Linked DNA regions of Danio rerio. The protein of the gene in region 1 purifies or fractionates together with the protein of each later gene. This does not show direct contact. Links are inferred from orthologs where the notes say so. Each region holds a gene or a part of one and is shown in the gene's direction. Other genes may lie near its edges. The genes, in order: adra1d, sntb2 and sntb1.

Evidence for each region.
Region 2: the proteins of adra1d (region 1) and sntb2 purify together in Homo sapiens (tandem affinity purification; 4 studies listed by BioGRID and IntAct, with this or other methods). This does not show direct contact. The link is inferred for Danio rerio from reciprocal best matches to the Homo sapiens genes ADRA1D and SNTB2.
Region 3: the proteins of adra1d (region 1) and sntb1 purify together in Homo sapiens (tandem affinity purification; 4 studies listed by BioGRID and IntAct, with this or other methods). This does not show direct contact. The link is inferred for Danio rerio from reciprocal best matches to the Homo sapiens genes ADRA1D and SNTB1.

The regions. Positions count from the first base shown.
Region 1 is NC_133176.1:45,233,437-45,237,597, reverse strand, and holds the start of adra1d (alpha-1D adrenergic receptor), read left to right. Parts: upstream 1-1,288; 5' UTR 1,289-1,639; coding exon 1,640-2,561; intron 2,562-4,161. UniProt on the Homo sapiens protein: This alpha-adrenergic receptor mediates its effect through the influx of extracellular calcium.
Region 2 is NC_133200.1:37,503,899-37,507,558, forward strand, and holds part of sntb2 (beta-2-syntrophin), read left to right. Parts: intron 1-184; coding exon 185-386; intron 387-597; coding exon 598-740; intron 741-2,472; coding exon 2,473-2,669; intron 2,670-3,307; coding exon 3,308-3,486; intron 3,487-3,660. UniProt on the Homo sapiens protein: Adapter protein that binds to and probably organizes the subcellular localization of a variety of membrane proteins. May link various receptors to the actin cytoskeleton and the dystrophin glycoprotein complex.
Region 3 is NC_133191.1:15,526,511-15,530,170, reverse strand, and holds part of sntb1 (beta-1-syntrophin), read left to right. Parts: intron 1-1,812; coding exon 1,813-1,949; intron 1,950-3,660. UniProt on the Homo sapiens protein: Adapter protein that binds to and probably organizes the subcellular localization of a variety of membrane proteins. May link various receptors to the actin cytoskeleton and the dystrophin glycoprotein complex.

The DNA.
Region 1 (4,161 bases):
CTGGAAAAGGAACATTTTGTCTAAGGGGTATACACATATCGCTGTGATTTGTAATAATTAACTTTTTCTTAAATTATATATATAGAGAGAGAGAGAGAGAGAGAGAGTATGTATTTGATGCATGTACTTTATACTAAATATTAATGCCACTTGGTGCATTTGAAAAATTAAAGCATATTTGCGAACAAACCTCTTAGTTTAACCTTCAGTCATCACACTCTTTCTTATAATACTTCATATCCTTACGATAGCCTTTGATAGGGGTTGACAGTTAAGAGTTCACTTGTGCTACAAGCACTTGAGTTTAGCTTACCTGTCCAGAGGAACTCCCCAAGTTCAGGGTCTTGATTGAAACGCAAATGTTCCATCAAATTCCTGTTTAAAATGCACTACACGTGTCCAGTTTTGTTTTACAATGTTGTTTGTCTCTGTATTAACCCTGCACTTCTGAAAAACAACTCTAAATTCTCAAGTTTCCACGTGTTAGCCATCAGGCTATCCCACTTAGCTAAAAACAATTTGGATTCATGCTGCAAAGCCACGCCCACAAGCTCGCGCTATTGGTCGAGTGAATATGATTTGAGCAGACCTGAATATTTACTAAACACTTTGGGTTACAGTTAGTTATTTTTTATTTTTATTGTTTTGTTTTTGTGGCCTAGTTTTATTCATACTGTGCAAACGTGGTTGTTGTTGATTTTCCATTGCCCTTTCCATGAAACCATTCAACCTTCTCTAAAAGTTGTCCTATTTTCAGTTGTTGTATTTTTTTCTTGTAGGTTAATGCTGCTAATTAAGTAAAGATTTTTTATGTTATACAAACGGTATATACAATTAGAGAGCTGTTTGTAATATTATAACTAAAGAGAACATGAAGAAACACTTAATTGACCACTGCCTATCTAACATTCACTGGTCACAGTCACTAAACTCAATGAAACAGCATTCTTGCAAATGACTTAACTAAGTCTTACATAGATTAGCCTATTATTGTAAGTTTATTCATTAATTTCTATGGCACTTTTATTTATTAAAATTATATTTTTAAAAACTGTTATGCATAAATCACTGATATTACATGATTGTTTACCTTAGAAGACGTGCTAAATAAAATGGCATTAGCCCACAGATACTCTAAAATGAAAGCAGTCCCTTATGTATAATTATATCACAGAACCCTCTAGTGGTGGTATGAAGAAGTGCAGGAAGTGTGCGACGCGTCACTAAGTTCTCAGAGCTGGAGGAGGAGACCTGGAGCACTGGGGTCCACGTTGAGCCTCTGTGATGCAGTTTGGAGTGTTTGCTGAGGATGCCACAAGAAGTAGCCTCTCCATGTGACATGCAGTGCACCGCCACTGTGGTTATGTAAAGCTTATTAGATCATTCTACCTCAGAAACAGGTGTAAAAATGCTTTCAGTTATCTTTCAGGTAATGGATAAAATTGTAAGTGTGATTAGATGTTCAAGAGACAGCATCTTATAAATAGGCTATATCTTGGATCATTTTGAAGAACCTGAATCTGAAGACACCTTCTCAGAGTGACGATGAAGAAGATGATGATGATGAAACACACAACGAACAGACCAGACAACACCATCGAACCGAAACAGTAAAAGTCGTCTTTATGGAGTTTGAAAAATGACATTTTCTAAACTGCTGAACGAGAGCAAGGATGAATTCCCCTCGGACTTTCTCTCCAACATCAGCAACACCACCTGTGAGGGCATCACCCTCGACTCTCAAGTCATCGGCGTGGGAATCTTTCTGGCCATTTTTATCTCGGTGGCCATCGTTGGGAACATTTTGGTTATTCTCTCGGTGCTGTGCAACAAGCATCTGCAGACGGTTACTAACTTCTTCATTGTGAACTTGGCCATAGCGGACCTTCTGCTGAGCATCATCGTGCTGCCGTTCTCCGCGTCTCTGGAGGTGCTGGGATGCTGGGTGTTCGGTCGGGTCTTTTGCAACATCTGGGCAGCGGTGGATGTGCTCTGCTGCACGGCGTCTATTTTAAGTTTGTGCGTTATATCTATAGACAGGTACATCGGGGTAAAACACTGCCTGAAATACCCCACTATCATGACCGAACGGAAAGCGGGTGTCATACTTGTGCTAGTGTGGGTTTCTTCGATGGTCATTTCAATCGGACCGCTTTTGGGATGGAAGGAACCTCCACCTTCAGATGAGAGCATCTGCAGAATCACGGAGGAACCGGGTTATGCTCTGTTCTCCTCCTTATTCTCCTTCTACCTCCCGCTCATGGTGATTTTAGTCATGTACATTAGAGTATACATCGTGGCCCGCAGGACTACAAAAAGTTTGGAAGCGGGCGTGAAACGGGAGAGAGATAAATCAATGGAAGTGGTGCTGAGGATACACTGCAGGAGCATGCCGGAGGACTCGAGCACGAGTTCGAAAACCAAAAATCACCCGTTCAGAAGTTCACTGTCCGTGAGACTCATGAAGTTCTCCAGGGAGAAGAAAGCTGCTAAAACCCTCGCCATTGTCGTGGGGATGTTCATTCTTTGTTGGCTACCGTTTTTCTTCGTTTTGCCTTTAGGTACGTAAAAGTTTGACTGTTCTGTGTTTGTTGTGAAACGAGCATAAATAGCTCTGTTGTAAGTAAATTCAAACTAAATTAAAGTTCATTGCGCTTCCTGCATTCTCAAAACGCAAACACAACAGAAATAACTCTGACAAAGTGATATTTAAAAAGTCAAAAATCATTTAAAAAATATTATAATAGTTTTAAAAAGTTCATAAAGAGTTCCGATGCAAAAACTCCGTCTGAAATTTCTTCTAAAATGAGCATTTTTCTCAGCCTCCTATGTTTATGTTCAGTTTATGTGTATGTTCGTGCATATTTCACTTTAGAGGGAACGAAATAATTTATTCAAAGCCTTAAATGTGAATTTATGAACACAGGAGCCTCAGACAATGGTTCATTTTAGTAGAAAGTTTCAGACAGCAAGGTTTTTGCAGCTGAACTCTTCAAATAATGATTAACAACAATATGCGAATTTTGCTGAATAAAAAAAGGCAAACATATTTTTTGATTACCACATGACGTTGAAAATAAATTACAAAGCTGTTGGATTCATGATATTCTAGCAGAGACATTTGATACTGCTAAGAAATGTAGGCTATGCTCCATAAGAGATATCTTATTTATAGGTATGTTTCATATGAGATTTAATTTGTGGCAAATTATGTTTGTTGATTATAACTATATCTTTGTCTGTTTTAGAAAACTTTGAAATTAAATTTTGGGGGGGAAAAGATATTTATTCAAATTTTCTCCTTTTGTCTAAAGTAAATTTGTTTTTTAAATATTCATTGAGAGTACATTTTACAGTAAATGTTAAATAAAAACATCTTATTTATGTGTTAATAAGTAATGAAAACAGCAACATAAACGTGAAATTACTATGACCATTTATGTGAAGCTGCTTTGACACAATCTACATTGTAAAAGCGCTATACAAATAAAGCTGAATTGAATTGAATTGAATTGAATTGAAATGTCCGAAACAAAGCAGGAGAGCATTCGGATTATCATGAAAATGTTAGGCTGAATGTCATGACTAGGGCTTTTCTCGACAAACAAAGCAGTATCACTTTTCTGTTAGGCTAACATTCTTTGTTTTTATGATGAAATGATATGGTTGTAAAATGATTTAAACTGAATGTGTGCGTATATGACATGAATGGAGTTTTGAGCAAGATTTGAGAGCAGCTCCACCTTTTACTCCTAATTGTTTTTGAGTGTAGACTATAATGTGCTCTGTGTATGTATCACTGTTTTCGAAGAACATTATGCTCCGTGGGGTGCAAATAGCCTATATAATGAGGCATCATAGAGTGTAGGAACAGCTGCAAAATCAGCCAAATACTATTCAGTATGTGATAATAGCCTTTGCATAACAAACACCAGTTCAGATAGTTATACAGTTAAAACTCTAAGACTCTAAAGGATATACAGTATGCATATAATATAATATAATATAATATAATATAATATAATATAATATAATATAATATAATATAATATAATATTATATGCTCAGTTATGATTTATTATGAATACAGAAAACATTAATAGGGATGATTAAAATGCACATAATAAATAATAAAGAACATTATTTTAAATGTGTACGCTC
Region 2 (3,660 bases), on another chromosome or scaffold:
GTAAAACTAAGCTCATAATCAATAATGATATCTCTAAGGATTTTTCATTACAGCTCTAATCATTTCAATATATTAACAGTATTTGGTAATAGTGAAATAAATATATAAAAACATATTCTTATGTGGAGTTAATTATTAATGTGTAGATGCATGTATTATGGTGCTGCATGTTTTTGTGATGCAGGTTGTTGGAGCTTCACTCTCCGGACGGTCAGCACACGGTGGTGCTGCGCTGTAAAGACGGAGCCACTGCTCACTCCTGGTTCACTGCCATTCACACCAACGTGGCGGCTCTTTTACCACAGACCCTGAGCTACATCAACACCTTCCTGAACAACGCCAACACTCACTGCACTCTCAAACACATCGGCTGGCTGGTGGAGCAGGTACGTCCATACAAGTCAGCACTTTATCCCTTTATAGGGCACTCAATAGCTCTGTTTCCTTCCGCCTCTTTTCATGTGCATTTTGGATTATTGCTATAAAAGTGCTTGATGAGACGCCAAGATGCGCATAAATTTGGAAAATGTAATAAACAGCATAATTTGAGAAAAATCTTGTGTTAGCTGTGTGGATCATGAATGTGTTTGCGTGCAGCTCGATATGGACGGCAGCCGGCATCAGTACAAAAGAGTCATCATGGCACTTACAGAGAAAGATATCCTGCTCTTCCAGGCTGTACCATGGACGTATGAGAGCTGGACGACTCCTGTATTAACACATCCGCTCCTCGCCACACGGTAACATTCAACAGTTTACCTTCCCTTCTTCACTGTTTACTTCACTCTGCTGAGAGCTCATTTACATATAAAAAATGGTCTACTTTTTCCTCTCAATACCAAAATAAATGCACAAAAATGCGGCTGCAGGTGCTAGTGGGCGGGGCTTTCTCCCTCTGATGACATCATACAAAGGGAGAATGTCAATCAAAGTGTTTCTGCAGACTGTTTTCATCATGTCTGATTATAAGCAAAGGAATTAATCAATTTTGACCATAAGTGGCTGGCTATATTCACTCAGTCTCACACACAACTGTGTTTAAACCCCTTATTAAAGTGATTTTTGCATAATAGGTGCCCTTTAAAATAAATATTTCCCACAAAAATGGTAGAATTTTGATCAAAAGTAAGCCTTAAAAAGCTGTTTTAGATGTTTAGCTACTATTTATTGCGCGTGATGTCTTTGTATTGTTGTAAACCTGCTATAGAAAAGTGATATTGATAAAATGTTTGTATATTTTATCAGGTTTTTGCTGATATAGCAATAAACTCAACCCTTTTCTCTCAGCATATATCATGGGCAGGGCTTGACATTAACTTTTTTGATCACCAGCCACTGTAGCTAGCAGTTTTCCAACGTTGCCACAATTTTGTTGTTGGGAAAATACATTTTATATGATTAAATTTGACTTTAGCATGCTAAAAATGAGTAATTTATTCATTTTGTGTTATGTCCGCATGCCTCCTTGTTAATGTAGAATCTTTTCTCTGGCCACACCAAACTATTTAGCTTTGTGCCACAAATTTTAAATGAGGTGTCAAAACAAGCCGAATAAAATGATATACATACACCTTTTATTCAATAAAAAACAATTAAAAATATTCTCATTTATCTAAAACTATACACAGTAATTTGTCCGGGCTAAACGTCCCAGATCACCCGGTAACTATAGATAAAAGGAGAGTTATCTTCTATTAAAGCAATGTTATTGTAAAGGATGATAATTAATTTACCAAAATAACTGCAAGCAAAAGAAAGCAGGTGGAAAACATTCTGTGTGCAAGAGTAAAAAGATGATCACGTGCACACAGTTAGCGTTAGGCCCAATAATAATCTGTTCAAGGTATGGTTAAAGCGAAAGCGGCAACCGCTGCTGCTTACAAAAAATCTGGACATCTCTTGAAAGCAGCAGGACTGTGGGTGCACGAGCACCGCTTTTTTTCCAATCTATTTCAAAGAGAGACAATCACACTAGTTGTGTTTCCAGGCACGGTTGTTTTGCACAAGGAAACGGGAGCTTTTAAGCACTCGCCCCCCTCACCCATTGATCCATTTTGGTGACTGTTGCTTTAAATTCAAATGAGATTGTGCTCTTTTTCTAAAAGAGGGAGGAGCTACAGATGCCTATGTGTCAGCATAGTGGCAGATTCAAAAACAAGACTAACGTTTTATGCTAATGAGGGAGAGATGGTCACTAGTGGGAGGGGCTTTCCCCCTCTGATGACACATACAAAGAGAGAATGTCAATCAAAGTGTTTCTGCAGACTGTTTTTATGAAGTGTAACTCTAATAAATAGAATTAATACATTTTTACCATTAGAAGCTGCTCATATTCATACACTGCTGATACACAACTGTGTTTAAACCCTTTGTAAAAGTGATATTTGCATAATAGCTCATCTTTTAAAAAGTATTCAATTTCACTGTCTGATTCCTCTATATACCCTGTTGTGTGTGTGTGTGTGTGTGTAGGCTAGTTCACTCGGGCAGTGTGCGCAGTTCTCCAGCTCTGGGTGGAGATCTGCTGTTCGCCACGCGCACCGGCACCGGGCGAGGGATCGAGTCTCATGTGTTCCGTGTGGAGACGCACTGGGATCTGTCCACATGGACACGAGCGCTGGTGCAGGGCGGACATTCAGCTGCAGAGCTCATCAAAGAGGTTTCCATAGGTGTGTGTGTGTTGTTTGTAATTAGACCAGTGTATACATTTTTTTTCCCAGTTTCTGCTGAACGGTAAGAAGATTTCTTTCAGCACATTTCTGAAAATAATAGATTTAATAACCCATTTCTAATAACTGATTTCTTTTATCTTTGCCATGATGAAAGCACATAACATTTGCCTTGATAGTCTTCAAGACACTAGTATTCAGCTTAAAGTGACATTTAAAGGCTTAACTAGGTAAATTAGGGTAAAGTTAGGTTAAATAGGCAATTATATTATATATATATATATATATATATATATATATATATATATATATATATATATATATATATATATATATATATATATATATTTTTATATATTTTTATATATATATATATATATATATATATATATATATATATATATATATATATATGTATGTATATATATATATGTATGTATATATATATATATATTTATATATATATATATATTTATATATATATATATATATATATATATATATATATATATATATATATATATATATATATATATATATATATGTATGTATGTCATTGTATAACGATGGTTTGTTTAGTAGACAATTAAATAAATATCACTTAAGGAGGCTAATAATTTTGACCCGCTCTCTCTCAGGCTGTGTGTTGAACAGGCAGAATGTGCGTCTGATCCTGCACTACGAGCGAGGATTCACAGTGACGCGCGAGTCTGGCGATTCTGTGCTCTTCCACTTCCCCTACGAGCGGCTCAAGATGTCTGCCGACGACGGAGTCCGAAATCTCTTCCTAGACTTCGGCGCTCCAGAAGGAGAGATGGTATGAACAGACAACATCCAATCTTTACCCGATGAAGATTTTATAACACGCGTGCAGTTCTGATGCATATCACCCTAAAATCCACAGTTAGGAGATCCAGTTTATAGTTGACTACAATGCAAAAAGTGCCTTTCTTTAGATTTCTTTTGTGTTGATTTTAGTCCAAATGTCTAA
Region 3 (3,660 bases), on another chromosome or scaffold:
TAACTGTAGGCTAAGGCACACATTTAGAAGGAGCCTGGGGTAAAAAAAAATTTATCCACATTCCCTTTGTTAGAACCAGAAGCAAGGCAATGCAAAATAAAAAAATTTATAGAAAAATTATATATACATATTATAAAATTATATATATATATATATATATATATATATATATATATATATATATATATATATATATATATATATATATATATATATATATATATATATATATATATATATATATATATATATATATATATATTGGGTGCAACAGTTCAATTTACTCACGGTACAGTATGTATCATGGTTTTAGAGTCAAGGTTTTGGTATGGCACTGTTTGTGCTATGCTTAGAAAAAAAAAATGCCTACAGAACAATTCAAAGAACAATAAACATATTTATTGGGTGTCAAATACCTCACAATGCAACAGCCCCACACATATGACTGTAGATTTGCATATTCTCATGTTAATTAAGTAAAAGTAGGGCATTTTGAAAAATGTATGTTCTAATAATTTGTTTAAGAAAATAGGCTTAAATTTCCACTTTTTCTATTTTACATTTTACATATTTATGTCAACACATAACATATTTTACATATTTATGTCTACACATCTTAATAATTGAGCACTTTTAAAGTATTGATTACTTCTGTTTACATTATGCTTGTATTACCAAGGCAACAGTGCATTTTTCTTTATGATATTTATGATATATTTTACTTCTATATGACTTTATTATGATTCTAGAGAGCTCTGTTTCACTTGACACCATCGTAGTAAACGAAACTTAAGCATAGAGAGAGCGTTCGGCTCTTCTTTCTTATTCAGCAGGAACAGTGGGTAAACAGTGTGAATAGCAGAAGGGATCGGTGCGAAAGAACACCCAGCAGGAGTGGGACTGAAGTAACAGACCTGCTGTATGTCTGCACCTGTATTGGATGCTTCTGGGTCTGGACATGGACCTTGATCTGCCTGTTAGTGACCACTGATCTAGGCTATCTTTGCAATAAAAACAACAACAACATATGGCATTTGTTATGTTTTTGTGTCTGTCTGAATATATATTGAGTGTCACACTATTACATGATAAAATTGGACTGTTTAGATTAGTAAGTATTGAGTTCGGTAAAGTACAGGATGTTTTTTAGAGAACAATGACCTCTTATGTCAGCAGATCAAGGGGATTTTATATAGTCAGTACATGACCGCTTTAAACATGTTGTAACATTGTTTCTTTGAGGTCATCTAAAAGTTGCAAATGGCTTTCAGCATGTTACATCAGTGCTCATTTTGCTGATGAATCAGTTACAGTTTAAGAGGCTCAATAGTTTTTATACTCTGGCTTTGACTTTCCGACTAGTTACATGAAGTTTTCCTAAAAGAGAAACAGCCCAGAGGTTTACTGCTTGACCTGCGCTTATTTACATATCTCTCAGATTAACAAAATATGTAAAATGAAAGGACTCCCAAAAAGAAAACTGTCATAACTTACTCATAATCCTTAGCTTGTTCCAAATTTATGTTTTTTTATAGTAGTAAAAAATAGTTTTTTTTGTTTAAAGTTATGATCAAGTAGACATTGACTTCCATAGAGTTTTCATTTTCCTATCATGGATGTCAACAGGTACCATTTTCCAATATAAAATATAAAGTAAAATAATCTCAAAGGTCTGAAACTAATTTTTTTGGGTGAACTGTTCCTTTAGTGTCTAAAAATGAGAATGGAAAAATAGGATCAAATAACAAGGAGAAATATGATCAAATGTAATTACACGGTATCTAATTGAGGTTTTGTGTCTTTGTGTTTCAGACGGAAAGTGAAAGGCAGAGCTGGAAGCCGGTGCTCGTGATGCTGACGGAGAAAGATCTGCTGCTGTTTGACAGTATGCCACGCATGAGAGAACACTGGCTCACCCCGACACACACCTACCCTCTGCTCGCCACACGGTACACACACACACACATACACACACACAGACGTACTGCTCATTCATACAAAAACAATCACAGCACACACTTCTGTTGAACACATGCCTCTGTACAAGCGCATGCAAATACACATTTGCATGCCAGCTGGCAGAGATGACCAATCGGGAACTGAAACGCACAACTGCAATCTTCCTCAGCCAGTTGGAAAGAAACAGTAAAATTGCATTTTAAATGCCCGTCCGAGCAGCAGCTATTACTACAAGAGTAAGATTTGAGGTCCAATTTTAGCTGGACTACAGCCCGAATCTCACTCCAAAGCTGATAGGGCAGTTATCACAGCCTCTGCTGGCATGTGTTAATGTTTTGTTGACCCTAAACTGGCAGAAAGCGTAGCTAGGCTTTTTTTGTTGTTTCTCAGAACTTTTCTAAACTTATTTTGGCTCGACTTGCTCTGTGAAATCTCAAGTTTCTGTCAAGTCGGGCAGCTGTGCCAATGGTGAAAGCTCATTGGAGAAAATCCCACGCTGGGATATAGAACGCCACAGTGCCTGTCCACTTTTTTTAGTGGTTTCAGAAGTTGTTTTAATATTTATTTTTGTCCTTTAGGACGATTTTTAATGCTTTGTTAAAGGGCCATGAACACCAACCCCCCCTTTTTACCAGCAGGGTGTTTTTACACCTTTAATTTGAAAAAAGGAAAGTGGGTGTCCATCTTTGTTTTGGTGGGAGTGTCGAGTGGCAAAAGAGGGAAGGGTTTGCATGAAAAAGGGAGTTTCATTACATGCACAGCAGCTGATTTTTACACCGGCAACACAAACACAGACGCAGGGGAGATAGACAGTGATTCGGAGAACAGTGTTTACAGAAGATCTGAGAGCTGTGTGGAAGTGGAGGATTTTTAATTTATAATATTGTTGTGATATTACTGTAAACATAGTGCCTAAATCATTTTGACTAAGGTATGTCTTTAAAACTAAAAGAGTACTGCTGACGATACTAACTTACTTTGCTATCTGAATAAACATAAACAAAGAACATTGATCACACACTTACCAAATCTGTAGAGACAGAAAAATCAACACTAACTTGAACTGCATCTTTTTTTAATAGAAGTGGCAAATTTCCTGTGCAAACCTGCAATCTACTTGCCGTAGACTAGAGAACAGTGAATGTTCATCATACGTGTGTGAATGCAAGTGTGTTTGAGTGTTTCCCAGTACTAGTTTGCAGCTGGAAGGGCATCTGCTGTGTAAAACATATACTGGATAAGTTAGCCATTCCATTCTGACGAACCCTGATAAATAAAGGGACTAAGCTGAAGGAAAATGAATGAATGAATGAATGAATGAATGAATGAATGAATGACAAAACTGCACAATATAAGTTTACATAATGTATAATATTGAGCACTTATATTCCTTAACCCTTTTGTTGTCTTATTAGACATAATACTGACATCACAGAAATAATTATTAATGAATTATTATGTTTTAGAAAACATAGCATATGAATAATATGCTTTCTGCAATTTATTCTAGTATAACCATGGTATTTTTTAAGTATCTTGGAAAATGTAAATATCAAATGCATACATGCTATATCATTTTAATGTATTGATTGGGATAACCACTTGAGTTGAACCATCTATTTTTTAAGGAATATATAATATACAGAATTTCTTTTTCTTTATTTTTTTTTTTGTAATTTCCATCAAGGCTGCACAATATAT